Linked DNA regions of Danio rerio. The protein of the gene in region 7 binds, or shares a complex with, the protein of the main gene of each other region. Links are inferred from orthologs where the notes say so. Each region holds a gene or a part of one and is shown on either strand. Other genes may lie near its edges.

Evidence for each region.
Region 1: prpf6 (region 7) and smx5 share a complex: the UniProt entries of both Homo sapiens proteins name them as parts of the U4/U6-U5 tri-snRNP complex. The link is inferred for Danio rerio from reciprocal best matches to the Homo sapiens genes PRPF6 and LSM2.
Region 2: prpf6 (region 7) and snrpd3l share a complex: the UniProt entries of both Homo sapiens proteins name them as parts of the U4/U6-U5 tri-snRNP complex. The link is inferred for Danio rerio from reciprocal best matches to the Homo sapiens genes PRPF6 and SNRPD3.
Region 3: prpf6 (region 7) and lsm6 share a complex: the UniProt entries of both Homo sapiens proteins name them as parts of the U4/U6-U5 tri-snRNP complex. The link is inferred for Danio rerio from reciprocal best matches to the Homo sapiens genes PRPF6 and LSM6.
Region 4: prpf6 (region 7) and lsm3 share a complex: the UniProt entries of both Homo sapiens proteins name them as parts of the U4/U6-U5 tri-snRNP complex. The link is inferred for Danio rerio from reciprocal best matches to the Homo sapiens genes PRPF6 and LSM3.
Region 5: prpf6 (region 7) and lsm5 share a complex: the UniProt entries of both Homo sapiens proteins name them as parts of the U4/U6-U5 tri-snRNP complex. The link is inferred for Danio rerio from reciprocal best matches to the Homo sapiens genes PRPF6 and LSM5.
Region 6: prpf6 (region 7) and lsm7 share a complex: the UniProt entries of both Homo sapiens proteins name them as parts of the U4/U6-U5 tri-snRNP complex. The link is inferred for Danio rerio from reciprocal best matches to the Homo sapiens genes PRPF6 and LSM7.

What each region holds. Positions count from the first base shown.
Region 1 is NC_133181.1:30,702,436-30,706,729, forward strand, and holds smx5 (smx5), read left to right. Parts: upstream 1-1,474; 5' UTR 1,475-1,550; coding exon 1,551-1,553; intron 1,554-1,969; coding exon 1,970-2,037; intron 2,038-2,149; coding exon 2,150-2,180; intron 2,181-2,272; coding exon 2,273-2,332; intron 2,333-3,194; coding exon 3,195-3,320; 3' UTR 3,321-4,255; downstream 4,256-4,294. UniProt on the Homo sapiens protein: Plays a role in pre-mRNA splicing as component of the U4/U6-U5 tri-snRNP complex that is involved in spliceosome assembly, and as component of the precatalytic spliceosome (spliceosome B complex).
Region 2 is NC_133196.1:14,699,954-14,704,419, forward strand, and holds the start of snrpd3l (small nuclear ribonucleoprotein D3 polypeptide, like), read left to right. Parts: upstream 1-1,572; 5' UTR 1,573-1,689; intron 1,690-3,538; 5' UTR 3,539-3,546; coding exon 3,547-3,672; intron 3,673-3,778; coding exon 3,779-3,971; intron 3,972-4,466. UniProt on the Homo sapiens protein: Plays a role in pre-mRNA splicing as a core component of the spliceosomal U1, U2, U4 and U5 small nuclear ribonucleoproteins (snRNPs), the building blocks of the spliceosome.
Region 3 is NC_133176.1:39,344,415-39,348,803, reverse strand, and holds the start of lsm6 (U6 snRNA-associated Sm-like protein LSm6), read right to left. Parts: upstream 2,850-4,389; 5' UTR 2,756-2,849; exon of another isoform or gene 2,533-2,755; coding exon of another isoform or gene 2,508-2,532; intron 2,408-2,507; coding exon of another isoform or gene 2,403-2,407; coding exon 2,309-2,402; intron 1-2,308. UniProt on the Homo sapiens protein: Plays a role in pre-mRNA splicing as component of the U4/U6-U5 tri-snRNP complex that is involved in spliceosome assembly, and as component of the precatalytic spliceosome (spliceosome B complex).
Region 4 is NC_133197.1:33,572,320-33,576,504, reverse strand, and holds the start of lsm3 (U6 snRNA-associated Sm-like protein LSm3), read left to right. Parts: upstream 1-1,270; 5' UTR 1,271-1,333; coding exon 1,334-1,354; intron 1,355-1,547; coding exon 1,548-1,658; intron 1,659-4,185. UniProt on the Homo sapiens protein: Plays a role in pre-mRNA splicing as component of the U4/U6-U5 tri-snRNP complex that is involved in spliceosome assembly, and as component of the precatalytic spliceosome (spliceosome B complex).
Region 5 is NC_133187.1:13,906,691-13,910,952, reverse strand, and holds the start of lsm5 (U6 snRNA-associated Sm-like protein LSm5), read left to right. Parts: upstream 1-1,405; 5' UTR 1,406-1,487; coding exon 1,488-1,533; intron 1,534-2,295; coding exon 2,296-2,391; intron 2,392-3,632; coding exon 3,633-3,660; intron 3,661-4,262. UniProt on the Homo sapiens protein: Plays a role in pre-mRNA splicing as component of the U4/U6-U5 tri-snRNP complex that is involved in spliceosome assembly, and as component of the precatalytic spliceosome (spliceosome B complex).
Region 6 is NC_133197.1:10,400,949-10,405,327, reverse strand, and holds the start of lsm7 (U6 snRNA-associated Sm-like protein LSm7), read right to left. Parts: upstream 2,923-4,379; 5' UTR 2,908-2,922; coding exon 2,902-2,907; intron 2,660-2,901; coding exon 2,569-2,659; intron 2,466-2,568; coding exon 2,394-2,465; intron 86-2,393; coding exon 1-85. Other genes in the region: sass6 (spindle assembly abnormal protein 6 homolog), read left to right, coding at 3,281-3,345, 3,496-3,556, 3,646-3,725, 3,845-3,949. UniProt on the Homo sapiens protein: Plays a role in pre-mRNA splicing as component of the U4/U6-U5 tri-snRNP complex that is involved in spliceosome assembly, and as component of the precatalytic spliceosome (spliceosome B complex).
Region 7 is NC_133198.1:7,069,098-7,072,811, reverse strand, and holds part of prpf6 (pre-mRNA-processing factor 6), read left to right. Parts: exon of another isoform or gene 1-1,848; intron 1,849-2,048; exon of another isoform or gene 2,049-2,980; coding exon 2,981-3,143; exon of another isoform or gene 3,144-3,244; intron 3,245-3,714. UniProt on the Homo sapiens protein: Involved in pre-mRNA splicing as component of the U4/U6-U5 tri-snRNP complex, one of the building blocks of the spliceosome.

The DNA.
Region 1 (4,294 bases), on a different chromosome or scaffold from region 7:
TGTGTTGTTTTTAAATGCTTATCATCAGGGTTGGGCAAAAACATTTAAATATATTTTAAAATAAAATACCAAAAACCATAAGTTTAAGTATATCAAAATAAACTACAAAATACCTCAGCCACAAAATGTATCAAAATAAAATACAGTATTTTTGTATTTTAAAAAATTCTACAAAATATTTTTAAATAGGAACATGATATTTGTTGGCAAACCTTTCATTAATAAGCCCATTTGATCAGTCCCTTCACCATTAAACTGATTCTTTAATACTCAGTGTAAAAACATGATTTCTGAAACTTTCAAAAAATTATCTTTTTTTGCAAATAAACTTTTCATATATTATATCATGTTCCTTCTGTATAACCTGTCAGAAGTTTTTAATTATTAAATGTGCGTTTCTCATGTTGTCACTTTTACATGTTTAGGCATACAGTACATCTTTCTTTTTCATTAACAGTACAGTGCATCTGCAGATCAACTACTGGCATTTGAAACAGCATCGGAATCGCCACTCATTTATTCATTCATTGTCTTTTCGGCTTAGTCCCTTTTGTAGGACTTATTGTAGGACTTATTGTTATGTTGTTTGTTTCAGTGACAAACATTTAGCATCAAAGTATTTTACAATATTTTAAACTACAAAAATAAAAGACATTAATGTATTTTTAATACAAAACATTAAGCCATTTCCATCAACCCTATCATAAATACTGCCCATCCCTGCTTATATTCATTCTAGGTAATTTTCAGAATGCTTGCTTTTAAAAACAGGAGAATGCATATTAAAGCATAATGTTATAAGAAGGCTCTATATGTTTAGGAACATTTATCTTTAAATTATAGAGAATCCAAAATCCATTTTTATTTTCAGAAATGTTGAAAACTTGTAAGCACTGACATTCATAGTATTTGTTTGTCATACTATTAAAGTCAATGGTTACAGGTTCCCAACGTTCTTCAAAATATGGAAAGATCAAGATGGTTTTAAACAAGTAAATTGATTAAATTGGCTGAATTTACATTTTTTGGATGCACATAAATACATAATCGTGAAAAACATTATAATCATTAGCATGTCGTGGAGGTTTTGTTTTGTTTTACAATATAGCGTTTTGTAAGTGGACTGCTTTTTTGTTTTATAAATGGGGATAACGCAGAGGATTAACCTGAGCCCTGGACTGTGCTTTATTATTATTTGTCTCCATCTGCTGACGAAAGAGGGAATTGCCAGAAAAGAGGAGCCATGTACGTGTATCAGCAAGCTCTGTGTCAGACATGTCATGTACCTCTTCGGGCATAAAGTTGACTGTTTTAAGAAAATATTTCACATCCATTGAACATGCGCCTTTTAATCTCTTTTGTGTGATGAACGATTGCGGAATAATTTACTGAGATGAGTACAAATGACGCAAAAACAGAACAAAACGCCAACAATTTCGCGACCAATGGGATTTTTACGTCTTCATTCTTCTAGCCAATAGAAGCACAGAGTGAAAGACCCGGCAGCTTTTTGATGACGTATGTGATCTAAAGCACAAAGCCGCGTGAAAATGGTAAGTGTTGTTATTTAGCAATATCATACAGTAATTTACGTTTAAGGAATTAATAAACGTGCTACGACCATTTGTTTAACATATTTAGGTTTTTTTGACCACTGTGTTCGCGAGAAAGACAAACAATGCTTCATGCTAACAGCTAACGCTAGCTTTCTTCATAGCCAAATAAAACAACATTCTCAAGCAAGGATTATCCCCTTAATTAAATGCCCAACAGAAACAACTCTGGCTGACTCCTATTATATTAAAGTCTTGGTATTTCATTTGCCTGCGTAATTTAGAAAGCAGTGTTATTTGCTGTTGACATTTCTCATTTGGTCTGTTGATAAAACTTGATTCAATCGTTTTATCGATGTCTTATTTGCTGTCCGCCTCATATTTTGAGAGTAATTCCTTCAAATGTTTATTCTCAGCTCTTCTACTCGTTTTTCAAGTCTTTGGTTGGCAAAGATGTTGTGGTGGAGCTCAAGAATGACTTGAGGTGAGTGCTCACCTTTCTTTTACAAATATTATATATATAATTAGAAATTGAATATACATATTTTATAATGTATGTGCCAGCTCGTAAAACTATGAACACATCTATTTTGCAGCATATGTGGAACATTACATTCAGTTGATCAGGTACGGAAACTGACTCCACACGTTTATTAATATAAACAAATATTGGGCGATTTAGGATTAAGTTAATCTTGTCATTTGTTCTTCCCTCACAGTACCTGAACATCAAACTGACAGATATCAGTGTTACTGATCCAGAGAAATATCCGCACATGGTGAGAAATGGATGAAATGAAAATTACACTCATAATCTTGGGTCTAATATCTTTATCAATGTCATGGAATTTTAAAAGGTTCATTTCAGACATTGAAATTTAGGAAATGTTGATATATTTTTGTCAGATTCATGGAATAACAGGGATTTTTTGTTTGTTACTTTACATTTTAGCTTTTCTTTATTAAAATATATTTGATATTTACAGCCATGCAAACCGCAAGTATTTTTTTTTTATATTAAGTAAATTATCATTTGTTGTTCTCATAGTGGCTATTAAATGAATGTAATAAAATGGCTAAAACCATTTCAATATATTTTTAATTTAATATTACAATTTTTTATAAGCACTACAGAAGCCTGTTATGTTCATGTCATGGTTGATATATTGGTTTATGGTAAAAGTACAGAAATTAATACTATGAAAAATCTGAAAATAGCAAGTGTAGGACCAATTTATTTTAAAGAATATTCAAAATAAAATTTTTTTTTGAATACTAAGTCATCTTTATTTTTTGAAATATGCAATAAAATATTTTCAGATTCTCATATAACATTGCTTTGGTTTTATTGTCAAAAAAACTAACTAGAAAGCAAGTGTAGAATTGCAACAGGATTTTTTTTTGTAAACCAACAATGCTGTGTAGTGAAAACCATTATTTAAAACGGTGAAAATACGGTCAACCATTTGATAGAGCAGGCAGCTAAAGGGTTAAAGAGGGAACCCTGATAATTGAATTGATTCCTAAATTAATGTAGATCAGGTTATTAAGTCTGTGATTTATGAATTGTCATAGTGATGTAGGTGCTCAACAAGGAGAACTTTGGTGTATATAGATGACTCTAATATTGTTTTGTTGTAGTTGTCTGTGAAGAACTGCTTCATTCGTGGATCAGTGGTGCGATACGTTCAGCTTCCTGCAGATGAAGTGGACACACAGCTACTACAGGATGCTGCACGCAAAGAAGCTACACAACAGAAACAATAATGTTTATATTTGAGAATAGTTTGGTTTTGTTCCAATGTTCAGAAGCATCATCTGTGGAGTTTTGTTGATTTAAATGTTTTTCTTACCTAAAACATGTAAAGTTTTTTTTTTCTCTTTCATTTTTACGTCATGTGAAGCCTGTTATTGAGGGTGTGATTTACTGTTTTTTTTTTTTTACTTCACAAGTTAGTGGTTGTGTGCTTTTAATGAGTGTTGGTAAAGTTCTGTACTGCATACCAATGACTTTTAGTTAGGTTCACACATTGATGCAAAAATAAAGTATTTTCCTCTGTTTTCACACTTTCCTTTTGGTGGAAAAAATCGTCCATTGTTGGAGTTCAGCTGACAGCATTTTACAAATTATGTTCGTGGAATGCTGGTGTTTTGGTTTAGGCAGGCATGTCCAAACTCGGTCCTGTAGGGCTGGTGTCCTGCAAAGTTTAGTTCCATACCCAATCAGACACACCAGGGCTAGCTAATCAAGCTCTTACTAAAAACATAATTGCAGATGTGTTGAGGCAGGTTGGAGCTAAAATCTCCAGGACACCGGCCCTCCAAGATTGAGTTTGGACACCCTTGGGTTAAGGTGAATGGATAGTTTAGCAGAGGTGTCAAACTCAATTCCTGGAGTGCTGCAGCCCTGCACAGTTCAGTTCCAAGTGTATTGGAGCAGGGTTGGGTTTCAAAGAAGCCCGAAAGATTTAATTACTTTAATCTGGTTGTGCTTACTTAAACTGAACTAAACAGTGCAGAGCTGCAGCCCCCCCAGGAACTGAATTTGACACCTGTAGTTTACAGCCTAGTCCCAAACAAAAAAGTAAGTTGTTTAGAGTAAAAGAAACTCGTAGTTACTGTTCCTAAAATATACCAGTGCCTTTGTTTTGTGTTTTTTAGGCACTTTTATGCGCTAATAAAGTAATCATGGCTTTATCAAAGCGAATGTAGACCACACTACAAAAATATGTTTAGGTGTT
Region 2 (4,466 bases), on a different chromosome or scaffold from region 7:
TTGTAGACTATCCAAAAAATATATATAGCTTAAAGTGGCTAATAATTTTGACCTTAAAATTGTTTTTAAAAAATTTAAAACTGCTTTTATTCTAGCTGAAATAAAGAAAATAAGACTTTCTCCAAAAGATAAAATATTATCAGACATACTTTGAAAATTTCTTTGCTCTGTTAAAAATCATTTGGGAAATATTTAAAAAAGAAAAAAAAATCAAAGGGGGGCTAATAGTTATGACTTCAACAGCATATTTTTGATCCATTTTATATATATTTTTGATCCAAACATCACAACAGCGTTCATTTTTGTTAATTTTTTTACGTTAGCAATTTTAACTTCATGGGGACCTATTATGCAAAAATTCCCTTTATAAGAGGTCTAAACAGTTGTGTGGAACAGTCTGTAAATATAATCACCTTCTAATGGTAAAAATATATTAATTTTAGTCTGCAGAAAAACTTTGATTGACATTCTCTCTTTGTAGTGACAATCTGTCCCTCATTAGCATATTACATTAGTCTTGTTTTTGAATCTGCCACTATGCTGACACACAGGCATTTGTGGCTCCCCTTTTTAAAAAAGGGCTGGGAACACAATATCATTTGAATTTAAAGCGACAGTAACCAAAACGACATCAGAGACTTTTAAAGATTTCACAAACTTTATATCTTGTAAAAAGGGCCATAAAAAGTCCCCTTTAAATCAGTTTGATTGATGTAAGTTGAAATTACTAAAATTAAATTGATTCAACTTAAAAATTTAAAACAGCAACAAATTTTTTACAGTGTATTATGGTAATTACTTATATATTTTTAATGTATGAAATAATGAAATTATGATTTTTGGCTGGGTCAGTTGGCATTTCTGTGTGGAGTTTGCACGTTCTCCACGTGTTGGTGTGGGTTTCCTCTAGGTGAATTGAATAAACTAAATTGGCCGTAGTGTTTGAGTGTGGATGAGTGTGTTTGGGTGTTTCCCAGTACTGGGTTGCAGCTGAAAGGGCATCCCCTGTGTAAAACATATGTACGATAAGTTGGCGTTTTATTCCGCTGTGGTGACCCCTAATGAATAAAGGAACTAACCCGAAGGAAAGTGAATGAATGAATGAATGAATGAATGAATGAATGAATGAATGAATATTGCTATACTAATTTGAAAGATAAAATTGACATTATATTAAATTCAATTGTTTTTAACAATGTGAATAATTCAATAATTGTAATAAAAGTAAAATAAACATCTTATATATTATATCATAGCTGTATATAATACAATATACAATATTTAAAAAAAACTGTTTTAATAGGTTCATTCTATCGATTTTATTTACAGTTCTTCTCATATATTGGATTTCAAAGATAGATTTAACAAACTAATTACAATATGAATATTTAAAATTAAATCAAATTACTTAGATTAACTGTTTATTATGAATGTGACACTAATTTGACTCAGATTTAAAACACTAAATTAAATTATTTTAAGTAAAATGCACAATTCGATGCTGCCCTCTTGTGTGCGAGTCTTGAGATGTTTGCTGCGTAGTTTTAATACGGACTTCACCTCCCAGGATGCAACTGGTTTTCAGGAAAGGGCGGGGCTTTTGCTTTCAGGTGCATTGTGGGAGCGGGAAAACGTCGCACAAGCTCACGTTGTTCCGCTGCTGTGTTTCAACGAATCTGCAGATTCAAGGTACTGTAATGCTTTATGATTATAACCTGATAACTACGTGGGGTATTTTGCGTGGTTCTGTGCTAAAATATACAGTCCTTTTTCGATTATTTAGTAGAGGAACATATATTTCGGTCATTCATTGTTTGCATTCACGCGACTCGTTTGAGAGATCAATCTTGGATATTCATTAATGTCTATCGCTTCATCCTGTTATTGAGTTCAGTAACGTTATAAGTCAGTTTTTACAAGTACCGTAGCCAAATGATTTTATGGTGTTTCATATTCTAGCGTGGATTCTTTCCAGCTAACGTTACATGTTTAGAACATGATTCTTAAACGAATGATTCGTAAGAGTCGGTTCATTTTATTGAATCAAAAGCAAAAAAGGTATAATAAATCGTTCTAACGAGTCGGTTATTTTAAATTACTCAAAAAATATGACATATTATTTTTTTCTATTTAAGAGGTGACTTTGGGAGTTATTTTTTGTTTCATAAAACTAAACCTGGCTCTTATAAATAAAATCCAAGTCAAAGGGTAACCTTTGATATTCACAAAACATATACAGTCAAAAGCTAAAGTTAAATGTGTTATAACTATATATTTGAGTTAAAACTACACTCTGATTTCGACAGTATAAGCAAAAAGGCTGTAATGGTAATATACACTCACTTTTTACACATTCTTCATTAATCAGAAGCAGTCTACTTCAGATTCAGTGACGTTACGAGCTCCTCCCATGCTTACTGATATATATATATATATATATCAAAGACATTAAGGGGATGATACCAGAACAATTTTGAGCATGGTTGTTGGAAGATGTTGTAGTGATGCTATCATTGAGAAACCAAGTAAGACACAGGACAGCTAATGAAGGATCCAAATACAATTTTGATACCCATTATCAATAGGAAAGTAGCTAAGCAGAATCACTCTGCAATATTGCCGAGCAACATTGCTCAAAAATAGGTTTGACTAAAATGTAAGTCTGAGCCGTTTCATCTGAAAGAAACATACACTGAACTGATCTTAATGCATTTCCGTGTGTGTTTTGGTTGGTAAGATGGAAAAAATCCTAAACTTTATTTGATAGATTTAGAGCAGTAAGAGGGTAAAGATGCTAAATAAAAGTTTAGTACACAGGCAACAAATAGTATAGCAGGAATTTGACCTGACAATGTAAAAAATGCAAACAAATAACAAACTCTCCTTAATATGAAGAACTGTAATGTCACATGAGTGCAGCAGTCATCGGATAAACCCAAAGAAAGGGTTTGTGTGCCCGAGACGAGACGCATGCTGTAAATGCTCCACCCTCTTACAAGCAGTAGCTCATTTGCATTAAATAGGACACACAACAACTGTGTTTGGGGGGCATTTACAGCATCAGTCTGTGGAAGAAACTGAGCATTATGTACAGTATTACCTTAAACCCCCAGCCTGTGCACATGTTTAGCCTTTTCATTAAGGTCTCCCGGTGACATAATGATGTGCATGTTGTCGTCAATATTGTGGATGGGATGAGGTTGAATTATCAGCAAATTTTCACTTTGAAAGAACTATCCCTTTTATAACCATTGGTCAGTGTCTGTTGTCTATATATATATATATATATATATATATATATATATATATATATATATATATATATATATATATATATATATATACACATACATACATACATACACCACACACACACACACACACACACACACACACACACATACACACACACACACACACACACACACACACATACACACACACACACATATATATACACACACACACACACACATAGATAGATATATAGATGTATAGATAATATTTTTTTGGTAATTTTGTTTTTTTTGTCCCACAGTTCAAAACATGTCTATTGGCGTACCCATCAAAGTCCTGCATGAAGCAGAGGGTCACATTGTGACCTGTGAGACAAACACAGGTGAAGTGTACAGGGGAAAACTGATCGAAGCAGAGGATAACATGAACTGCCAGGTACTGCTGAACTGAAGAACAGTTTATCCCACTAAAATCGCATTCTTTTAATGTCTGTTGTCTCGAGTCATGCAACTGACTGCGTTTCTGTTGTGCTGCGAATCAGATGTCCAACATTACAGTGACCTATCGAGATGGCAGAGTGTCACAGCTCGAGCAGGTCTACATCCGTGGCAGCAAAATCCGCTTTCTCATTCTGCCTGACATGTTGAAAAACGCCCCCATGTTGAAGAGCATGAAAAACAAAAACCAAGGAGCAGGAGCCGGTAGAGGAAAAGCTGCTATTCTCAAAGCTCAAGGTTAGTTATTTTAAAAAAAGTTACCTTTTTTTTTAAATTCATTACAGTGTTTGCAGTCATATTGTGTAATTTTTGAGCCTTACTTTGCATTGCATTGGCAATGATTGTAAGCTGCGCCAGAGATGCCTTGAGACGGCATATTTTCCATTAAGCTATTGTTTACATTAAAATATTTGTTTACAAAAGATGCAAGAAATGCAATTGCTGTTCAAAATATTATTTACAGGATATACAAGAGCTATTTTATTTAAAAGAGATATGGCTAGTTTTATACTTTTAATATGAAAAGCACAGAAAATAATTTATTTTGTTTTCAAAAGTGCAAGTTATTTATTTTCAGAAAACTGACTGTTGGTTTTAGGTAATGTGTGTTTTAAATTGAGATCTTCAGTGTTGATGATCAATACATAATTATAGATAGTGTGTGTTCTTCAGTTATTGTAAAATCAAGCAATGCAACCTTCATTCAAAAATCTCTCACTTGTAATATCTAAA
Region 3 (4,389 bases), on a different chromosome or scaffold from region 7:
ACTGGGGAAAAAAATCAAAGGGTCTTTAATATTGATTTAGACAATAAAATGCATGGAAATCAAAAAGTTTGATAACAAATATCCAAGTGTAAGAAAATGGTGGCAATACTAAAGGAAGGTTTCAGACTAAAAGCCTTAGATCAAGAGCAGGATACAGCAACTGAGGTAAAGTTGGTTTTATATTCGCACATTTATTTAACGACAACTTGCGACACGCTCCCTATATTGTTTCCCACGGTACTTTGAATATTTGATTTGAAATCATAAGTAAGTTTGACATGAAAACAACATAGTACTATCTATTTGACTGTGAACAATGTTGTACTTTTATAGTCATTTGCTGATATGATTTTACTATTTAGAATTTTCAAAGAATACTTTTCTAAAATTATATTATTAAGAAAAAAAGTGAGAATATGTGAATACAGGGCTCAACAATAAGGACTGCCCAATGGCCCGGGGCTAGTGTGCGAGATGCTAGGGACATTAAACAGGACCGTTACTGGCCTAATCAGGTCTTAAAATTAAGAAACTGTTATTTCAAGCCTTTAAATACTACCTTCTCAGTGAAGTTGTAAACACCATATTGCTTTTCGCTTCCTCTTATGTGATTGGATGATGTGAGCATGTTATTTTTTTCTAAAACTTGGTAAAAACCAGTACAGCAAAGAGGCGGCAACTTCAAATTATTAAGCTAAAAGAAAACGTCTGTTTCTAATGTCTTGGGTACAACATGACGAAAAAAATGTGATGTTCTGCACAGTTTGCCGCAAGTTTGGCAAGTCAGCCACATTTTGTTAAATAATTTTAAAGTGCAATAAAATACCTGCACATTTTCTATTATTTTTTTGTTTGTTTGTTTGTCTGCATTACACTATAAATTTTGCTTATTTTAGATTTATTAGCATTAAATGCTACATTCGCAGATGTTATTTTTGACAGAACATTTAAAATATGTGGCTAGGATATTTTTTATTACAGCTTTTCTCAGTCGCTTTTGTGCGTTTCTCACAAAACTAGTGCATTTCTGCACAACAGTTAATGCATTTCTCAAAACAATTAGTTTAAACTGCAAAACCTAGATGATAAACTGCAAAAATGCGTCACATGCTCAAAATGGATAGTTCATTCCTCAAAAGCAAGTATTGATGTTAATCAAAGTGCCAGTATCATCAAAATGAAAAGTCCTGACACCATTGTTTATGAACAAGATAGTCACATGGCTTTGTCCTGTTTTCATGATGACAGTTTACTCTGTACATTTTTTCAATGCAAAAAAAGTCAGATTTTGTTGACACTTCCTGAAAATGCTCAAGACAACACTGCATACTATTTGCACAGCCATTTGAAAACTACAGTAAAGTTAGACATCACTGCATTTAGTGAGGAATCGGAGTACAACAAACTGAATATGTATGTTTCACATTTTAACTGTATATACTCTTTGCAATTCTAATTTATTCACACCATTGTGCAAAAGAATACATACACCCTTATTTACAACAAACAAACTCCCTTTGGGTAGAGTTGTGCACAACTGTACACAATATTGCAAAACATATAGGAACTGAAACTAAAATACACACAAGTCTATAAATCAATCATGAAATTGTTCAATTTTTTAGACATTATCAGGAAAATAAAGATTTAATTTTTTTTATAAAATATTGCTTAACAGATTTTGACAACTAGTTCAACATTTTTGTATGTAATGACTCAAGTAATGAAATGAAAACTATTTGTTTTATATGGAATGACTACTCAGAATTCACAAGTTTAGTTGACATAAGCAGATGATAATGTTATAAATATCAGAGAGTTGTATGAAAGTAATTGATGCATGTCCAAAAGCATCTGCAATGTGTTGGAAGGAATGAGAAACTGCTAATAGGATGTGCACAAATGACTAATTATTTTGAGAAATGCATTAACTGTTGTGCAAATGTAAATAGTGCTGTGAGAAATGCACCAAAGCCACTGAGAAAAACTGTAACTTGTTATATTTGGTCAGACCAGTGAAAAGTTTCGGGCCAGTAAAAAAAAAATCTTTAGCGTTGAATCCTGGAATATAAAACTTACTTTACCTGACACAACTTTATCCATATTTAACTTGCATGTGGCAGTGAACTTGTAATAAATTACAATAAGGAAATTATGTTGTTTTCTTCAAGATTGACTTCCAAACCATCCTATTTTATTACCTCCAACACAACAAATATGATCAGTCCCTTCATGCATACCCTCGATAACTTGTAAATGATAAATGTAAAATACAAACATAAAAACAACCGCATATTTCAGTTTGTACCTCTGTAATCGACACCAGAGTTCAGTTTCACCACCACTGGCCTCCCAATGATCTGCTTCAGGAAATCACTTGGTGTCTGCTTTCGGAGACTCATTTTAGCTGAAAATGAATGACAATGAAGTTTATGAATAGCTCTTATAAAAATGAACCATGGCTGCATTGTTAACAAAAAGGATGTGACAATAACAACAAAACGTACTAAAGACGTTTATTTTAAACCACATAAGGGGTTTCCAGAAGAGGTTTAACCTTATTTGTTTGGAAATTGCCGGTGAACGTTATCGATAAGCGGCTAATTTAGCATGCTAGCATTCCAACCCAACGTATCACTTAATAAACGTGTCATCGTATATCTAGCAAGGTAACTACAGTGCTGCAGTTTTTTAAAACCCCACTAACGTCGAATGCATTCTTATATTAAAGCATACAACATTTAACGTTATTTACCTATGTCGTTTAGCAACGTTAACCGCACGTTTCGACTGAGCGACTGCTGACCAATGAGCTCGTCCGCTTATTCTAGTTCCATGGTGTGTACACCATTCAGCCAACCAGATGCTTCGTTAGAAAGCCAGTGTACGGAAGCCGACAAGATAGCGTTATCTCCTTTGACAAAGAATGCGTAGTGGAAAAAAGAGCCAGATCGACGGTGGCAGTAAAGACGGGGAATCGTCGCTTTTGCTACATTAGGACATAAAATCGTTAGACAAACAGAAGAATGACAGATGAGCTGATAAAAATGGACGAACAAACAGACGTATAGAAACCTAGACTGACAGACAGACAGACAGACAGACAGACAGACAGACAGACAGACAGACAGACAGACAGACAGACAGATAGATAGATAGATAGATAGATAGATAGATAGATAGATAGATAGATAGATAGATAGTCTGTCTGTTTGTCAAAGTATTTTGTGTACATTGTGTATAATAAGCAACTTCAGGTTGTAGTTGAGGTGTGGCTAAAACATGTAGGAAAAAAGAAGATCCTGTATAGCCAAAAGAGAGAGAGGGAGATGGGGAAGAAAAAGCTGTCTTTTGTTCACAGGCAGAGGAGGGGATGCACCTGAGAGACAGAATCATAAAGCACTTCTGGCGCATCCAGACAGTTTGCTTGTTAGCAGGGCATTGGTAGCCCTGAGGAGGCTAGAGGTTAATTTGGTATCTGGTGCTGTGTTAAACTAAGGTCAGCGCTACAAGTCCTTAAGTCATAAACAAGTGTGGTTAAGAGCCGTGTACACACCTAGGCACGAGTTAATGAATATTCAATGAGTATTTTTCCCCTTGTTGCCAGAGTTCACATCCTAAAGGAGGGTTAAGAGAGAAAAATGTGATCTAATGCATTTTCCTATCAAAGCAATCATTCATTTAAGGAAAAAAAGGAAAGAAATTGAACGAGTTTACAGATTTTTCGGTTGTGGCACACAGCACCGGGATTTTCAGTTGTAAACAAATATGGAATATCATGACAAGGAAGCTGACACAAGCACTATGATGCTTTCTTGACTACTGGAAAAGCGTGAATGGCTTGGCTTGTTAAGCGATACTGAATAAAACACAATAGAGCTCTACAGACACAGAAAGCATTTCACAAGCTTTTTATCTTTCAGTTTTGCCTGTTGCTTGGTAGAAGATGATTCTGTCCGTCTCACATAAAGAGGGCATTTTAACCTTAATGTGCTGTCCTTCAAAAAGTTTTCAACTTAACATTTTGTAGACTGATGTGAATGTGCATAAAATTTTGACTGGGAACAAATAAAAAAAGCATTTGCTTTTCCTCAGTCAGCACAGACAATCCACTCTCACCGCAAGCCTGTGAATAACCCCACAGCTCCTATGAAAACAGTAGCGTGTTGGTAATAACCGCCCAGTGATGCCAGATGGGACTGTTTTCACCCTGCCTTCAAGACGCTGGTGAGCTCAGATGGACAGTGGCACAGTTGATTTGCTGGTACAACCCGCCTCACCTTTCTAAGCCCCCAAAGACCTGAGAGGGAGTGGAGGAAAAATGAAAAGATTACAGAGGCAGCTTCACTAGGGTTGGGGGTGGGTCAGGCTGAGGGGTGTCAGATGCGA
Region 4 (4,185 bases), on a different chromosome or scaffold from region 7:
CCAGCAGGGGTCCTTATGCATCTATTCATTTCAGCTTTTACTTCTTGATGCTTTAGGACCCATCCCATGCTTGAATGTCTCAGTAGTCCTTCAGCGTTAGAAGGAATGGTAGGCTATAAAATATTTTCTCAGCTTACACAGTCGATCTACATAACTGAATAGCAACACAGGCACAGGTTACTGCATCTATTTTTTAATATATATATATATATATATATATATATATATATATATATATATATATATATATATATATATATATATATATATATATATATATTTAACTGACTGTCACACATTCTCAGCATTTGCTTTTAGTTGAATTTCAAGTGCAGCAAGCTAAACTTGTTATTTATTTCTTAAAGAAATATTATAATAATTTACTGTCATGTTGTGTGACATGCAAAAGAAAATATTTAGAAAATTTTAATATTCAGAAAGTTTTTGTTTCCAATTTTTATTTGTGCTCTAGACCCAGGCCTTTGCAGAAATGTTAAACTTTTTAAAATTTATAATGGGTTTAAAATTCATTTAAAAAAAATAATCTTAATTTTTTTTCCACTTTTCTCATTTTTTTTCAGTGTGGTCAGTTTGACCTCAAACACCATAAGTTTTTTTTTTCTTTTTTTTTTTTACACATATAAAGCAACCAAATCAAGTCCAGTTGTGACTGTTTTGTTAAAGGTTGGACTGATGTGACCCCAACATTGCCTAATTGATAAAGTTGCAATTTCATATGCAAAATTGCATATAAATAAACACCAAATAGCCTACTCTTGATAACAATGCAATCCAGATGATCAGCCTCACAACTTTCACTATACAACTAAATTGTCTAATTTTCCTTTGCAGGAAATGTGAGATGGGCTTTCCCAGATATGAAAATGCGGAATTTAAAGGAAGCAGGAGGAGATGTGTTTCAAATCTAACAGGGAGGGGGAATAGTACTTCCATACTCACAAACACAAGCTTTTTTCAGGAATGTCTGTGCGATCACTGATCCATCAATGTAGAAAAGGGATGAAAAATTATAATTTTCGTAATTTAAAAAAAATAAATAAATAAATAATTGCACAGTGACATCCGGGAAAACTCCCGATCATAGCCTATGTGTATATCTTTGGCTTTGGATGGTCACAGCTTGCATTCATTTCAAAGGAGCGGTTCCCTGTACTAACATGGTGGATCTATTGACGCATTCCTTCCAATAGACAACAACAGGGTAGGCGACATCTAACGTATATATCTATGTCTAACAGGAAGCAGATGCATTTTCCGTCTAATGATTTGTTCGCGAGAGAAACGGAAAATGCATTCTGGGTAGATTTGAAAGATGGCGGACGACGCTGAGCAGGTTTGCAATTTTTGCTTTGTATAAATATTTCGTTAGCTGTTTGATTATCGCGGAGGTTAATCGTATTAATTGTGTTTATTTTTAACTAGTTGAACACACGGGTAGCCTATGCTAAAGCAGCTTGTAACTACGACGATTGTTTGCATGGACATTTTCATTCAAATAAAATACATCACTGAAATTTACTTTACAGCAACAGACCACCAACACCGTAGAAGAGCCTCTGGATCTGATTCGGCTCAGTCTGGATGAGAGGATCTATGTAAAGATGAGGAATGACAGAGAACTGCGTGGCAGACTGCATGTGAGGGGAATACTACATTACATACTCTAAGTTAGTTATACTGCACGTGAGGGAAATGCCACATAATATACTGCATACGAGGGGAAAATACTACATTAAATACACGTTTCTACTGTACGTTATTGGAAAAAATACAACCTTAAGCATATTATATAACGTTATACTAAACCTGATTCAAAATACTACATTAACCATTATATAATGTTACATAAAGTTAGTTACATTGCACGTGCAAGAAAATACTAAGTTACATTGTGTATATATAAGTTACACTAATTATACTGCACGTGAGGGAACATACTACATTAAACATTATACAGTTATACTGCACGTGAGGGAAAATACTACATTAAACATATTATAGACTCTAGTTAATCTGCATGTGAGGGAAAATGCTGCATTAAACATTATTAAATTGCACTTGAGGTAAAGTACTTTTATAGATATATTGTTAGCCTTCACGTGAGGGAAAATTCTAAATTAAACATTAAATATTATAGTTAGACTGCATGTGCGGGAGAAATACTACTTTAGTATATACTCTAGTTCACTGGTTCCCAACCTTTTTTTGCCTGAGACCCCCTTTTTCCCTGGAAAATATTGTTAGGCCCCCCTCCACATTTAATGATATAATCGCTCATATAAGTTTGCACTAATAATGACAAAAAATATTGTTTCAAACAAAGCAAAGGTAGATCTCCAGGAACAGGATTGGCCACCCCTGCTCTAGTTAGACTGCGCTTGAGAGAAAAAACTAAATTAAACAGATTATACTCTAGTTATCCTGCACCTGAGGCAAACATTAGGCATATTATATTTATCATTATTATATTTATGTTCATTCATTCATTTTCTAGTCGGCTTAGTCCCTTTATTAATCCGGGGTCGCCACAGCGGAATGAACCGCCAACTTATCCAGCAAGTTTTTAGACAGCAGATGCATTTCCAGCCGCAACCCATCTCTGGGAATACTATTTATATATATATATATATATATATATATATATATATATATATATATATATATATATATATATATATATATACTAATTAAACTACAACTGCACATGAGGGAAAATACTTATATAAATATTATATACTCTAGTTATACTGCATGTGAGGGAAAATACTACATTGTAGTTATTATATACTCTATTTATACTGCACATGAGAGAAACTACCACATTGTACATATTATATACTCTAGTTCAGTGGTTCTCAAACTGTGGTACGTGTACCACTAGTGGTACGCAGGCTTCCTTCTAGTGGTACGTGGAGGAATAAAATATGTCATGTACATGCTACACACATTTCAAAATTGATAAAAATGATGTATATAATGTCATATGACATATAGCCTATATTTCTCATGTAATCTGCCACGTTTTTTTAACTGTGCAGAGTTGTAGCTGCTTTACTGGGCCTACAAGGCTATTGTATCTCAATACTGCTCATTTTGGTGGTACTTGGAGAGACAATTTTTTTCTGAGGTGGTACTTGATGAAAAACGTTTGAGAACCACTGCTCTAGTTATTCTGCCCTTGAGGGAAAATACTACATTTTATACAGACTCAAGTTCAATTATGTCTCTAAATGTATTATGTTCTGTTATTAAAGTCACATGAATTTGGTCTGTGGATTTTTTGGAGAAAATAAAGGATAAAAACATGTAAAAGTGAATTGATAAAATCTATTAAAATGTAATAATCAAATGTTTTATCCTAATAATTGACTACACGCATTAGTGTAGTATGTAAAGTGTTTAGTAAAAGAAAGGAAACATACAGAGGATTAAAATAATATTTATATTGTAATTGTATTTAGATCTAAAATACAAGTCTAAACTAATAGTCTACAGCAGTTCTAATGTGTTATTTTAACAGTACGTATGTATATATGAACAGTATATTGAAAAATCTGTTTGATTTTAATAACAAATCACAGAGATAAGGGATCAGAAAAATGTAAATGTTTTGTATTTTACAGAGGTAAATAAACTTATGGATGACCAAAAATGTACTGAATACAACTTCCTTTGTGTGAATTAAACAGCACAACCAAAAAGGATAAATGTTGACATAAATATACTTTTATTATTTTAATATTCATTTCTTTAAATATTTATTTTCTTTTATTTACCATATTTGCATTAACAGGGCTCGAAATTGCGACTATTTTGGTCGCATATGCGCCCGAAATTTTATCTATGCGACCTTAAAATATATTTGGGAGCATTTCTGCGAGAGCTTAAAATTGTTGTGTGCAACCAGTTTGTCTGCTCTTTGTCTGCAAAAATGCAGCGCTCGGGAATGGTTTAAAACAGTTATCATGTCAACTTGTTGCAGTAAACAAATCCAAGTCCGTAATGCTTGCCCTGCCTTTGCGCTCTTCTTATTGGCCCACCACTGCTCTAGCACTGAATGCGAATGATTGGTTAATATCAGCTGTTAATCACTCAGTCGCCTTCTGGCTTCGGACGACAGAGAGGGCTACTACCGCGAAAATTGTAAAGCGCTGAAGATGAGAA
Region 5 (4,262 bases), on a different chromosome or scaffold from region 7:
TTAGCTTGCATCATAAAGGCTGCATATTGGCTATGCCAGCTTTATACCAAATCTGGGCCAGAATTCCTTGTTACCTGGGTATTGATGTTTCAAGTCTGAATACAACCTTAGGCCTATAATGATTTTTTTTTACTCTGGAAGTGGAACAGTTACAGTATTGTCAAGTTTTACAAAAAATGGAAACCTATTGTGGAAGTGTACTGTGTTCTGTGTTTTGGTTTCCGATTTGGTCCGTCATTCCATCAGAGAGGAGATACTGGGAGATGGAAAAATTAATCAAGCTATAATCAAGCTATAAAACTCCAAATTACCGTGACAAATTACTGTGACATACAGTTTGGTAGCCTATATGATGCAACATTTTGACTGACTGACATGCCCTTTAAAAGAAAAAACTTGGGTAACACTGCTCTAATGTTACAGCCACAGGCTGTACAAAAAGCCAAGCCCCTCTCATGCTATCGATGTAAACAAAGTAGTAATCTGTTCAGATTCATCTTCAGCCTTAGTTAGTATAGCAAACTCAAAATCAGATAGAGAGGATTTAATAACAGAAATCTATTTATCTTTATATAGATTAAAGGAAATAGGAGTAGTCGTTTATTTCTGCTGGGTTCCATCACATATTGGGGTATCTGGTAATGAAGTTGCTGACAAATTAGCAAAGGAAGCACTAAATAAGCAAGAGGAAGTAAATGTACCTCTGGGGAAAAGAGAGGCAAAATCGATTTTAAAGGAAAAACTAATAAATAAATGGCAAATTAGATGGGATAATAGTAATACTGGAAGATGGCACTATAGTATTATACAGACAGTAGGGACAACACTAAATCAAGGAAGAAATAGGAAGGAAGAGGTGTGGTTATCAAGATTAAGATTGGGACACACAGGGTTAAATGCAACACTTGCGTTAATGGGTTTACATGAGGATGGGAAATGTGATGTATGTGGTGTAACTGAAAATGTGGATTATGCACTATTTATATGTAGCAAATATAATAAACATCGCAATATGTTATTCAGTCAGTGTGGGGAAGATAAAACAATATATAAAATTATTCTAGGAAAAGGTATAATAGATTGGCAAGTATATAGAGCGTTTATTAGGTATATAGAGTATTCGGATTTAGGTTATTATAGTCTTATATTTATGGATGAGAGTATTCTCAATCATTGTCATAAAGGCCCTTTATGTTAGAGGAGCTGAACACGCAGTGCTGACATGAGTATGTGGTCTAGATGCAAAGATTGGACAATATGAAACATCCAAGGTGTTTTTTTCCCCCCTTTCCCTCCCTCCTCGTTTCTTTTTGTTGCCCTTTCATCGGAGTAAGATTCGGTACAGTAGGTGGCGATAATGCTTTTAATTGTTAGTCGCCATAAAACAGAAAGAAGAAGAAGAAGAAGATGCTATCGATGTGTGCTGATATCGATTATCCATGCTTGTAATTGGCTTCCGGTCCCGATTATTCAGGTCTGTTATCAAAATGGCGGCAATCACAGCAACGAATCCTTCGCAGCTTTTACCACTCGGTTTGTTTCACTTTCTTTAAAATTGCTTATCATTTACTGACATAACTTTTGTGTTTTTGTACGGGGCAGAGATGCCAATCAGTCACGTTCGTAACTCACTTTGCTTTTTTATCTAATTGAATACACCTGTGCACAAAAGATGTGGCCCTAATCATGTCAATGTGTTTTTATTTTAACTTAAATATTTAATTTCACAAATTTATACATCAATGTGTGATTGATTATATATAAACGGAAGCCAGTTCATTTAGTTAGTGTGGGCGAAAAAAATAAATCACTAATATGTTTCCCTCTGTTGGAGTTTAAAATATTGTAATTATGACTTGGGAACACATTTATCATTAACAATTTCCATTAAGATGTATTTATAAGTAAGATACTCTGAAAATAAAATTTTATGTATGAGTTACGACATTAGAGATACCGTGTCAAATGATTAAAAGCCACTCCACTCTTTACTCGCAGGATTTTTTTGTTGTTGAGTCAAATAAGCCTAAAATTAGTACTTTAAAGAATGAATTTGGTATTAACATATTACTCAATCCCACACCTAGTGTTAAAGCCAAAGAAATTTTAAATTTTATTAAACGTGGTTCGTTAAAAACTTACCTTGGCTGTATAGTTGTTGAAGTAACGTTTAACATAAATTGAATTTCTTTACAAGGTTTTACAGTTGTATATCACACTGACCACTCAAAATGTTTCCTTTAACAGCCAATGATGTGACTGTGTTTATGATGGGGATTGTGTGCTGTCTTTCAGAGCTGGTGGATAAGTGCATTGGCTCTCGGATTCACATCGTTATGAAGAACGATAAAGAGATTGTGGGAACTCTGCTTGGGTTTGACGACTTTGTCAGTATCCTTTACCTACTGGCGGTAAAAAAATAAACAAAACACTGTCAAATATTTGTGATGTTTACAATTTAGTTTTGGATTCAACTTTTTTTTTTTTTTTTTTTTTATAAATACTGCTAGCTAAAGATATAGTTACACATAAGATTTCCCTTTATTTCCCTTAGTCCGTTTATTAATCTGGGGTCGCCACAGCGGAATGACTCGCCAACTTATTTAGCATATGTTTTACGCAGCGGTTGCTCTTCCAGGGTGGAAAATGGCATAACGGCAGCAATGGTTACTGAACAACAACGTTGTGGAATCAGTCTGCCTAAAGAATGTTCATTAGCCTGTGCTTTAGTTTTAGCATTTTAATATAAGAAAATGTCCAACAAAAGAACTCTATCATATTTACAGACTCCAAATCATGCCTCCAAGTGATGGAATCTTCAGAAAATGATCATCCTTTGATTAATGATATTATAACTAAAGTTCACCATTTACAAAACCATTTTTTTTCATATTTTTTTTTTTTTTTTTTTGCTGGGTTCCGGGACATGTTGGGCTTTCAGGAAACGAGCGAGCTTGATCCAGCAGCTAAGGATGCTTTGAAATAAGTTGTGAACGAATGCCAAATTCCTCTTTTAGAGATGAAATCTTTTATCAACGTTTACTTTTTAAATAAGTGGCAAGAGGAGTAGGATGCATTGAGAAATAATAAACTGTATGAAATACAACCTGAAATCTCAAACTGAATTTTTAGTCATTTTAAGACTAAATTTGATTTAGTGATTTTTACTAGATGTTGTATTGGACATGCAAGAATGATCCATGCTTTTTTTTTTTGCTCAAATGTGAAGACCCTGCTCAATATTTGCACATCACACTTTCTTTTACAGTAAAACAGATTTTACTGGATTGTCCTGCTTTTAACAATTCCAGAAGGCTTTTTTTTTTTTTTTATCAAATGATGTCTCTTCAGGACATTTTTAGCAAAATGACACCTGGAAAATAGTAAAAAAATTATAAAAAAATGTATTAGCATTTAAAGATGTATTTAATTTATGTATTCATTTGTTTTTGTTTTTTAATTGTATATTTATTATTGAAATGTTCTTGCCATGAAAATAGCCTTGCATTGCTGACATGGCATTAAATAAAAAAATACAATACACTACATCACATGTTGTCAACAGAGAAATGTAAATGTCTATGTAATGTTATCTTTGCGATGTTGTACATTTCCTTGATGCTTTACATCAGACATGGTCCTAGAGGATGTCACAGAATTGTAAGTATATTTCCTAAACAAAAATATTAAATATTTGCTTAATTGTCTTTGCACAGTGTATTCATGCATTCTCTTCTGCTTTGACTTAAAGGATAGTTCCCTCAAAAATTTTAATTGTCAACATTTACTCAACCTTCTATTGTTCTAAATGCTGTTCGAGTTTCAAACGATCAGTATCCTGTCTCCAAAATTTTAGGTGTTTGTTTTATTAGGATAAACTATCAATAAAAAAAGCACTTTCGTTCTAGAGATTAACTAAAGCTCAAGTTTTATACCATTAGACTATTTATACTGTATTCTAATTATTCTATAAACTATACTGCATAGAGAAGGCATTTTCTAATCTTTTTAGAAACTTTTTTTAAAGTATGCTTAGTTAGAAGTTCAATGGTATTAGCAAATTTTTATCACTATTGAAACCGTTTAATATTTTGTGACATTATTATTAAAGAATAATTCCAAGTATTATCATTGATTAAAAAAAAAAAAAAATCAATTGAATGTGAAGTGTACTTGAATGTGAAGTGTACACTCATGTATTCAAGATGCAAGGAAAATTGGATTATGAAGTATTTTCACAAGAATTTATAGATGTAGGTTAC
Region 6 (4,379 bases), on a different chromosome or scaffold from region 7:
CAGATGAGCACAACAGACGTCCCTCGACAAACAACCAGACCCAGCTGCCTGGTGTCTTCGGTCAGTTTATACTGGTCATCAGGATCTGTGTGGGAAATAAATGTGGTCAGAAATCATATAAAACCATTGATATAATGATAATAGTCAAACACAGATGTCTTTACTCTTAGGGCGGGGTTTTTTCGTATTTTCGGATGTGTTAACACTTGTAGTTTAGTCAGTTTGTTTGGACCAAACAAAAAAATTATACATAGTCCTAGTTTGTCAAGCTTTCATACTCTGATTTTTGACAGAAAAGCAGCTGCATTTATGACATTCAATTCAGCTTATTCAGCTTTATTTGTATAGCGCTTTTACAATGTAGATTGTGTCAAAGCAGCTTCACATTAATGGTCATAGTAACCGGAACAGTGTAGTTCAGATTTTAGTGTTTAAGTTCAGTTCAGTTCAGTTTAGCTCAGTTCAGTGTGATTTAAAATCATTACTGAGAGTTCAAACACTGAAGAGCAAATTCATCAATGCGTAGCTCTACCAATCCTGAACCATGCGAGCCAGTGGCGACAGCGGAGAGGGGAAAAAAACTTCACCTGATAGGAGTGAAGAAAAAAAACCTTGAGAGAACCAGACTCAGTTGGGCACGACCATTTTAATTTCTCCGCTGACCAAAAGTCATGTGCAGAGCTTCAGTCACCGCGGTGGATTCTGTGACTTTAAATTTTCAAAACAATTCTGTATGTTTAGATACACTTGTTTGCTGTATGTGCATGCACACATTTTTTAATCAGTTAAATACGGTGCCCTAGAGAGGACAAATGCAGTGTAAACATGCAAATAGAAAAACACTTACAAACTGAGAATTAATCGTCATTAGTTTAGTAACGTGAATGCAACTTCCAAAATATGCACATAGAAATGTTTTGGGGGACCTTTGGGGCAGCTTTCTTTTTAGAGACAGTGGTGTTGTCAGCATTTAAAGCTAAAATTATCCAAACACCAGGGAATCATACAACTAGGACGTTAAAGTAAAACACTCAGCTCTTTGACAACACCACCACCTCTAAACAGGAAGCAGAGGGTCGGGTTCATTACATTTTCAGGTCCCCCGACACATTTCGGTGCATATTATCACATTCAGGAATATGTGTCTCAGCTTTCTCAATCTGTGTTTTTCTATTTACCTGTTGTTGTTTTTTTTTTAGTTATAGTTTATCCGAAAACTAACCGTTTCACTACTAGATTTCAGCATTTTTCAAAATATCTTCTTTTGTGTTTAACAGAAGAAAGAAACTCAAAAAGGTTTGAAACATATAAAGGGTGAGTATTCAATGACTAGGCGTGGGACAATAACTGTTTTAAGGTTTATCGCGGTTTGAAAAGTCAAGGTTTTAAAAACGTTAAAATTGTCTGTTATACCGTTCTCAAGGTATTTGTAAGTTTTTTTTTTACGACTATTTTATTGAGTTTTTTTGGGCAACAATAGAAAAGGACCATCCACATCACAAGTTACCATGATTCAGGAAACATCTGAAAAACAAATCTCTTATAAACCAACATCCAGCATGCTGTAGAGCTGAACAGTGTAGATGATTTTTTTTATATCCAAAGAAAAGAAAGATATCCAAAGATGCCTTTTCAAGTTGAAAAGAAATCTGTGCTTTTGAAACTAATTAAGACAGCAGAAGTCAATGACATTCAACAATTAATAAACAATAAATTATTTAGCCTGACATTATAGTTTCAAAATATTTTAAATGTTAAAAAATATAAACCATGTTCAATGGGGGAAAAGTTTTTTTTTTACTCAGACATTTAAAAATAAAATATTTTGGAGCAGTATGTACAATAACATGATATTGTGTAACTGTGATATTTCAACCTAAGGTTATCAACCGTCAGAATCTTATACCAGCCCATGCCTAACAATGACAGTATTCATTTTTTTAGGGTGAACTATTTAACTTCAAGTGCATTTAAACTCTCTCAGAAAACCATATTAAATGTGTCAAACCAACACCAGAATTTCCTCTGGCTCACACACACCCAAATGAAGATCTGCTGAGACTGTTTCTGATGCCTGAACTGAACGGTAAGGAGCAACATTGTTATGCTGACAAAAATAGCTATGCTGGAGCATTCTGCCTTTTTATGTTTAATATCATGGCATCATGTCCTCTTTGGGTTGATTTAGATGCATTTATATATCAGTCAACCCACAAGAGTTTGTATGTTGCTTTATATAATTTATAATTTAATAAATTGATTAATTTTATAATTTAAATTGCAGCATTTACACTAAAATTTGTTCAAAACAAACCACACTAACATTAATACTGTGAGAAATTTAATGCAGAACATAATTTGGTACATATTCGGTTTACATTAGCACATTTTACCTCGCATGTATTCAATGGTGCCGTCCAACACAAGATTCAACAACGGGTCGAAGCCTTTTAAGACGCCACTTGCTGAAAATAGGAAACACTAGTGTCAAATTTACCACAATTCATTTAAATATCATAATGTGAAACATTTAAATTCATAATTAATTTCATAAAGCAACTCCCTCACCTTCGCGACCTCCTTGAAACTTTACACGTATATGTTTGTCGATGTATTTCGACAAATCAAAAATACTCTCCTTCTTTTTCTTGTCTTTGTCCTGAGGATCCAAAAACATATTATATAACAATCTCCAGGCCTCTATAATAAATATCAGACTCGTAGCTTAGCACAAAAATACACCACACATCACATTTACAATTACCAGCACACCCTAATGTGTAACAACATAAATATCAAGAGTGTAGGATATATTCAGGTGCTTATATGTTTGTTTATAACGCCGTTTGTCCTTAAAAGTGTTTATAATGTGAACGGTGTGGAAACGTTTGCGCTACTCACCGCCATGTTCAAAACTCCTCTACGCCCCGCCCACTCCGGGTTCACGTTTGACGTCTACCTCTCGGCCAATCACAACGCGCGCAGGTGAACTCTGATATCAAATGTTTTCAATTTTATCAGCTTTATTCACGCACAACTACACAGTATATACAGCTTTAAATGTTTATATCTATATTATACGATTTATAAAAACAAAAACATGTTGAAATACGATGATACGCGTGATTAGGTTGAAGTGTTTCTCACTTCCGGTTGGAAACGGACAAACGCGGGAGTGAAGCGCGAAAAACAAATGAGTCTTTCAACAACCTAAATAACATCTTTAAAACAGGATTACACGATTTTTAATTATTATCGTTGCTTTGTGAATGAATTAGGAATGACGGAATTACTTTTTAACAAGCGGTTGCAGGTGCTGGTGAAGAGTAAAGATACCGATGAGAGGTTTGTGTTGATTGTCTTGTTTTTGAACACAATGCCTAACTTAAATTGATTTATGGTATGAATTTTGGCTTTATTTTGTCTGTAATTATTAACATTTCGAAGTCTGTAAGGGTCTATATGTGTTTATATATGTTGTTTTTGTTACTACAGGCGTTCGGTTATTCGCGTTAGCATTGAACTGCAGTTACCATCCAGCCCTGTTCACAGAAAGGTTTGTTATTAACATGTGTACAACCATATTTATGCCTTTAAGCATGTTTTATGTGGTCTTATAACTTTTTTTAAATTTTTGATCAACAGGATTTAGTTGTACGGCTGACTGATGATACTGATCTTTACTTTTTATACAACCTTATCATATCAGAGGAGGATTTTCAAAGGTATTGTGGTATTAAAAGTGTCATTTCATCAATGAGCCATATTTATTTTCAACACTTTGCTATTAGGCTTCTATGTGATTATATTCTGTGTAATCGTTTTTATTTGCTCTTCTTCACAGCTTAAAAGTACAACAAGGGCTTTTAATAGACTTCACATCATTCCCACAAAAATTTATAGACTTACTTGAACAGTGCATTTGCGAACAGGACAAAGAAAACCCACGGTAAGAGGTTATAATTCATAATAATGTTCAGATGTTGCAGTTGTTAAAGTGATAGACAGGCTAAAGTCAATAATTACTGATGATTTAGTCAACCTCAGGACAAAAATTTCTTATTGGTTCTTCACTGAGTCAAATATTAATACTGTTTGGTGTTTATTTCAAAAATATAAACTTTTTGAAATGAAACTTATATAAAATTTTATAAATATCTATCTAACTATCTATCTATCTATGGGAAAAAATAAAGAGACCCCTTGAAAACTCTATATTTGTATTTGTCTGTACATGTTTGAAAACATTTCTTTTTTTCTTCTAAATTTCAAATCAAATAATGTCATTTAAGCATTTCTTAATATTAAAAATAATAATAGCAATAAACGGTTTAAGAATTTTACTCTTGTATGGTTAAAATGGACACTAACATGTTTTT
Region 7 (3,714 bases):
ATTCATCAACATTAATTAGGTGGATGCAAAAAGCTATCACAAAGGTTTAAAGTCTATATCTCCACAGTCAGAAATATAGTAAGAAAATGGAAGGCCCCAGGAACAGTTCTTGTGAAGGAAAGATGTGTTTGACCAAGAAAAAATATCTGAAAGGCAAAGGGCGAAGAATGGTTAGAATGGTCACAAACAAACCACAGACCACCTGCAAAGAGCTCCAGGAACAACTTGCTGCTAATAATGTCATTGTAGATAGTTCCACAGTTCAGCGCACTCTTCACAAAGAACAGCTTAATGGAAGGTGATGCAGAGGAAGACTTCTCTGCATTCTGCCAACTAGAAGATTCGTTTGAGGTATGCAAAGGCTCATCTGGACAAGCCTGAATCATTTTAGAAAAATATTCTGTAGACAGATGCCACAACCATAGGCGCTTTGCATGGTGGAAAAAGAACAAAGCATTTCAGGAGAAGAACCTGCTCCCTGCTGTAAAATATGGTGGAGGGTCCATCATTCTGTGGGGAAGTGTGGCAAGCACATGTACTAGAAACCTTGTCAGAATTACAGCAAAGGTTGCATGGATTTTACCCAGTATCAGCAGATTCTGAAGACCAATGTTTAGGAATCAGTCAAGAGGCTGAAGTTACGGCAGGGTTGTATGTTTCAGCAGGACAATGACCCAAAACACAGTTGCAGATCTACCATGGAATTCATGCTCCGACATGATACAATGTTCTGATATGGCCATCCCAGTCCCCAGACTTAAACATTATTGAGAATCTATGGGTTGGTTTGGAAAGGGCAGTTTATGGTTTGCACCCATCAAACCTGACTGAACTGGTGAAATTTTGCAGGGAAGAATGGACCAAAATGCCTTCAGCAAGAGTTCAGGGACTTATCCTTGGCAATAAGAATCAACAACAGGCTTTTATTTCAGCATAAGTTGGCTGTACAAAACATTGAAGTTATTATTCTGTTAGGGTGCCCAATTTTTTGCACCTGTCTGTTTTTGTTATTACATCTGCTGATTAAATAATTAATATGTTATGTTCTGTCAGAAGTGAATTGTTGCTTTTTCCCTAGGGTATAAAATATATCCAAATGAAATTGCTGATTTGGACAGCCAGCAGGCTATGGCTTTTGTTATGAAAATTATCAGGAGTGGAGAAATTTGTACATAAAATTGTAAATTAAAGTCTTGTTACCACTTTACAGACAGTTGTGCTAGCTTTGAAATTTAATAATAGAAAAAAGGCCTGTTTGAGTGTCTTGAGTACATTGGGTACACAAGTGTCTTGGTACATTTGGTTCAGTTAAAACAAACTGGTGTAGTGCTTCTGTTTGTGCAGTTTATTTGAAGGAACTTGAGCTCTGCCAATCATAAGTTGGTGTGCTGCCATGTCTGCCATGTTCCTGGTAGCCTGCATAAACAAAATGCATACATATGAAGAGTTCAGATGCGAACACCTCTAAGTTCTGTCTGAAATATCCATTGAAAATGAGCATTTTTCTCAGACTCTTATGTTTATGTTGAGTTATTTTATTTTAAGGACCTTTAAAAGAGTGTATTCTTTGCCATAAACTTAAATTTACTGAACCTACACACAGGACCCTGATAAAATTGATTATTTTTGAAGGAAATTTCAAATGGCTTTTAGAGGTTTTTGCATCTGAACTCTTCTAATATGGTTTAAATGTATGGTTTCATTTTGAGATGCACAGATTTTTTGCTGCTGAATATTGCAAAAAAAGAGAAAACTGGCCAAATATATGAACCACAAAAAGGTTATTTTGTGCTGCTGCACTGGCCAGTATTGCTGGTTTCACTTTCACTTAAAGCAGGGATGTCCAAACTCGGTCCTGGAGCGCCGGTGTCCTGCTGAGTTTAGCTCCAACTTGCTACAAACCACCTGCCAGGATGTTTCTAGTGTATCTAGTAAGAGCTTGATTAGCTGGTTCATGTGTGTTTAAATAAGGTTGGAGCTAAACTCTTCAGAACACCTGCCCTCCAGGACCGAGTTTGGACACCCCTGACTTAAAGGGATAGTTCAGCCAAAAATCTAAATTTGCTCACTCTCTTTACACTTCCTCAAGTTGTTCTAAACTTTTTAGGGTTGTTAGAAATATCGTTTGATACCAATCTGTATTTTAAATATGATCACTGTTGAGCACGTTCTTAAACATTGCTGATTAGCCACTGTGTTCATGCTCAACAGAAATGACTGTGGTTGGCTGTGGAGCATTTGAAAGCTGTGTCAATCAGCAGATCTGTCTATGTGCTGACATATGAGCAATCTGATGGATCACTAGTGCCTGTGACTCTGTGCTTGCACTTGGTGAACAGCGGTGAAGAGTGATGAACTGATGACCTGTACAGCCAATTATAGCCATTTCTGTTGAGCATCTGAGCACAACGACTAATCAGTGGTTAAGCATGTAAATGTTAACAGGAGATGGAGGTTTTTTAAGTTTCAGGAAAAAACCTTTAGACTTTGACAGCCCTAAAACCTTTCGAAAATAATTTCATGCTTCTGTTGAAGATAAAATTATATATTGTTGAAGAAAGCTGAAAACCATTGACTTCCATAGTAGGAAAAAACAAAATTATGGAAGTCAGTGGTTACAGGCTTCCAACTTTTTTTAATATTCATGTTCAACAGAAAAAAAATAAACTCATAATTGTTTGAAACCAGGAAAGGATTAGTAAATGATGAAAGAAATTACAGATGCATTTGAAAGCTTCACTCTGAGGTTAAACTTTGATCCAATGAATAAACAATGATTCCACAGTGCTATGAACTATATCGTCTGGTCAACTAAAAACCCAACTGGACTGTGACTTGACTAGCATTGCGTACTCTCACATTGTGATATCGATGATAAAATGATACATTGTACGGCCCTGATGAGTGTTTTATATGTGTGCATCAGCTTCACTGTGTGTGGGCATGCGTGTATAACCCGTGTTGTGTTTTGTCTGTTCAGAGTGAGGATGTTTGGCTAGAAGCTGCGCGTCTGCAGCCTGGAGACACAGCGAAAGCAGTAGTTGCCCAAGCAGTGCGACACCTCCCTCAGTCTGTGCGCATCTACATCAGAGCCGCTGAGCTGGAGACGGACATCAGGGCCAAGAAAAGAGTGCTCAGGAAAGGTCAGTCTCTCTCCGTCTCCCTCTCTTTCTTTACTTTCTCAGTCTCTCCCCTCATCAGTTTTCTCTTTCCACTGTCACTGGCTCTTTTTTCAGGTGCATACCTGTATGACAGAGACAGATGACTTGTTAGTTATGTAGGATCTTTTATCAGTCTCAGCATGTTAAACTGTCCTGAATCTCCGCCTTTATAATAAAGGATTTCTAAATAGTCTGGCACTGCTACTTCATCAATGTCTCTCCGATGATTAACTGGTTAACTCTATGTAATAATTTCAAGTAATTAGTACGGTTTTAAAAAATCTTGTTGCTCTGCCATTTTAGTAATGGCTGATTATTCATGAGATGATTTGCATAAATTGTTGGCATGGCAGTGTGGGGTTATATTTCACACACTGTGTGACCATACTGATTTTTGATTACTGATTTTTTGAAGAAGAAGCTGCATGTGTAGCGAGCATTGACTGATATCAATAGCTCTTTTAAGGGAGAAAGAGAGCCTCTGAAAGCATTGAATGTCTTTCTCTGTCCATGTTTTTGGCTCAGAATGTCATGCGAATTCTTTAGAATTTTC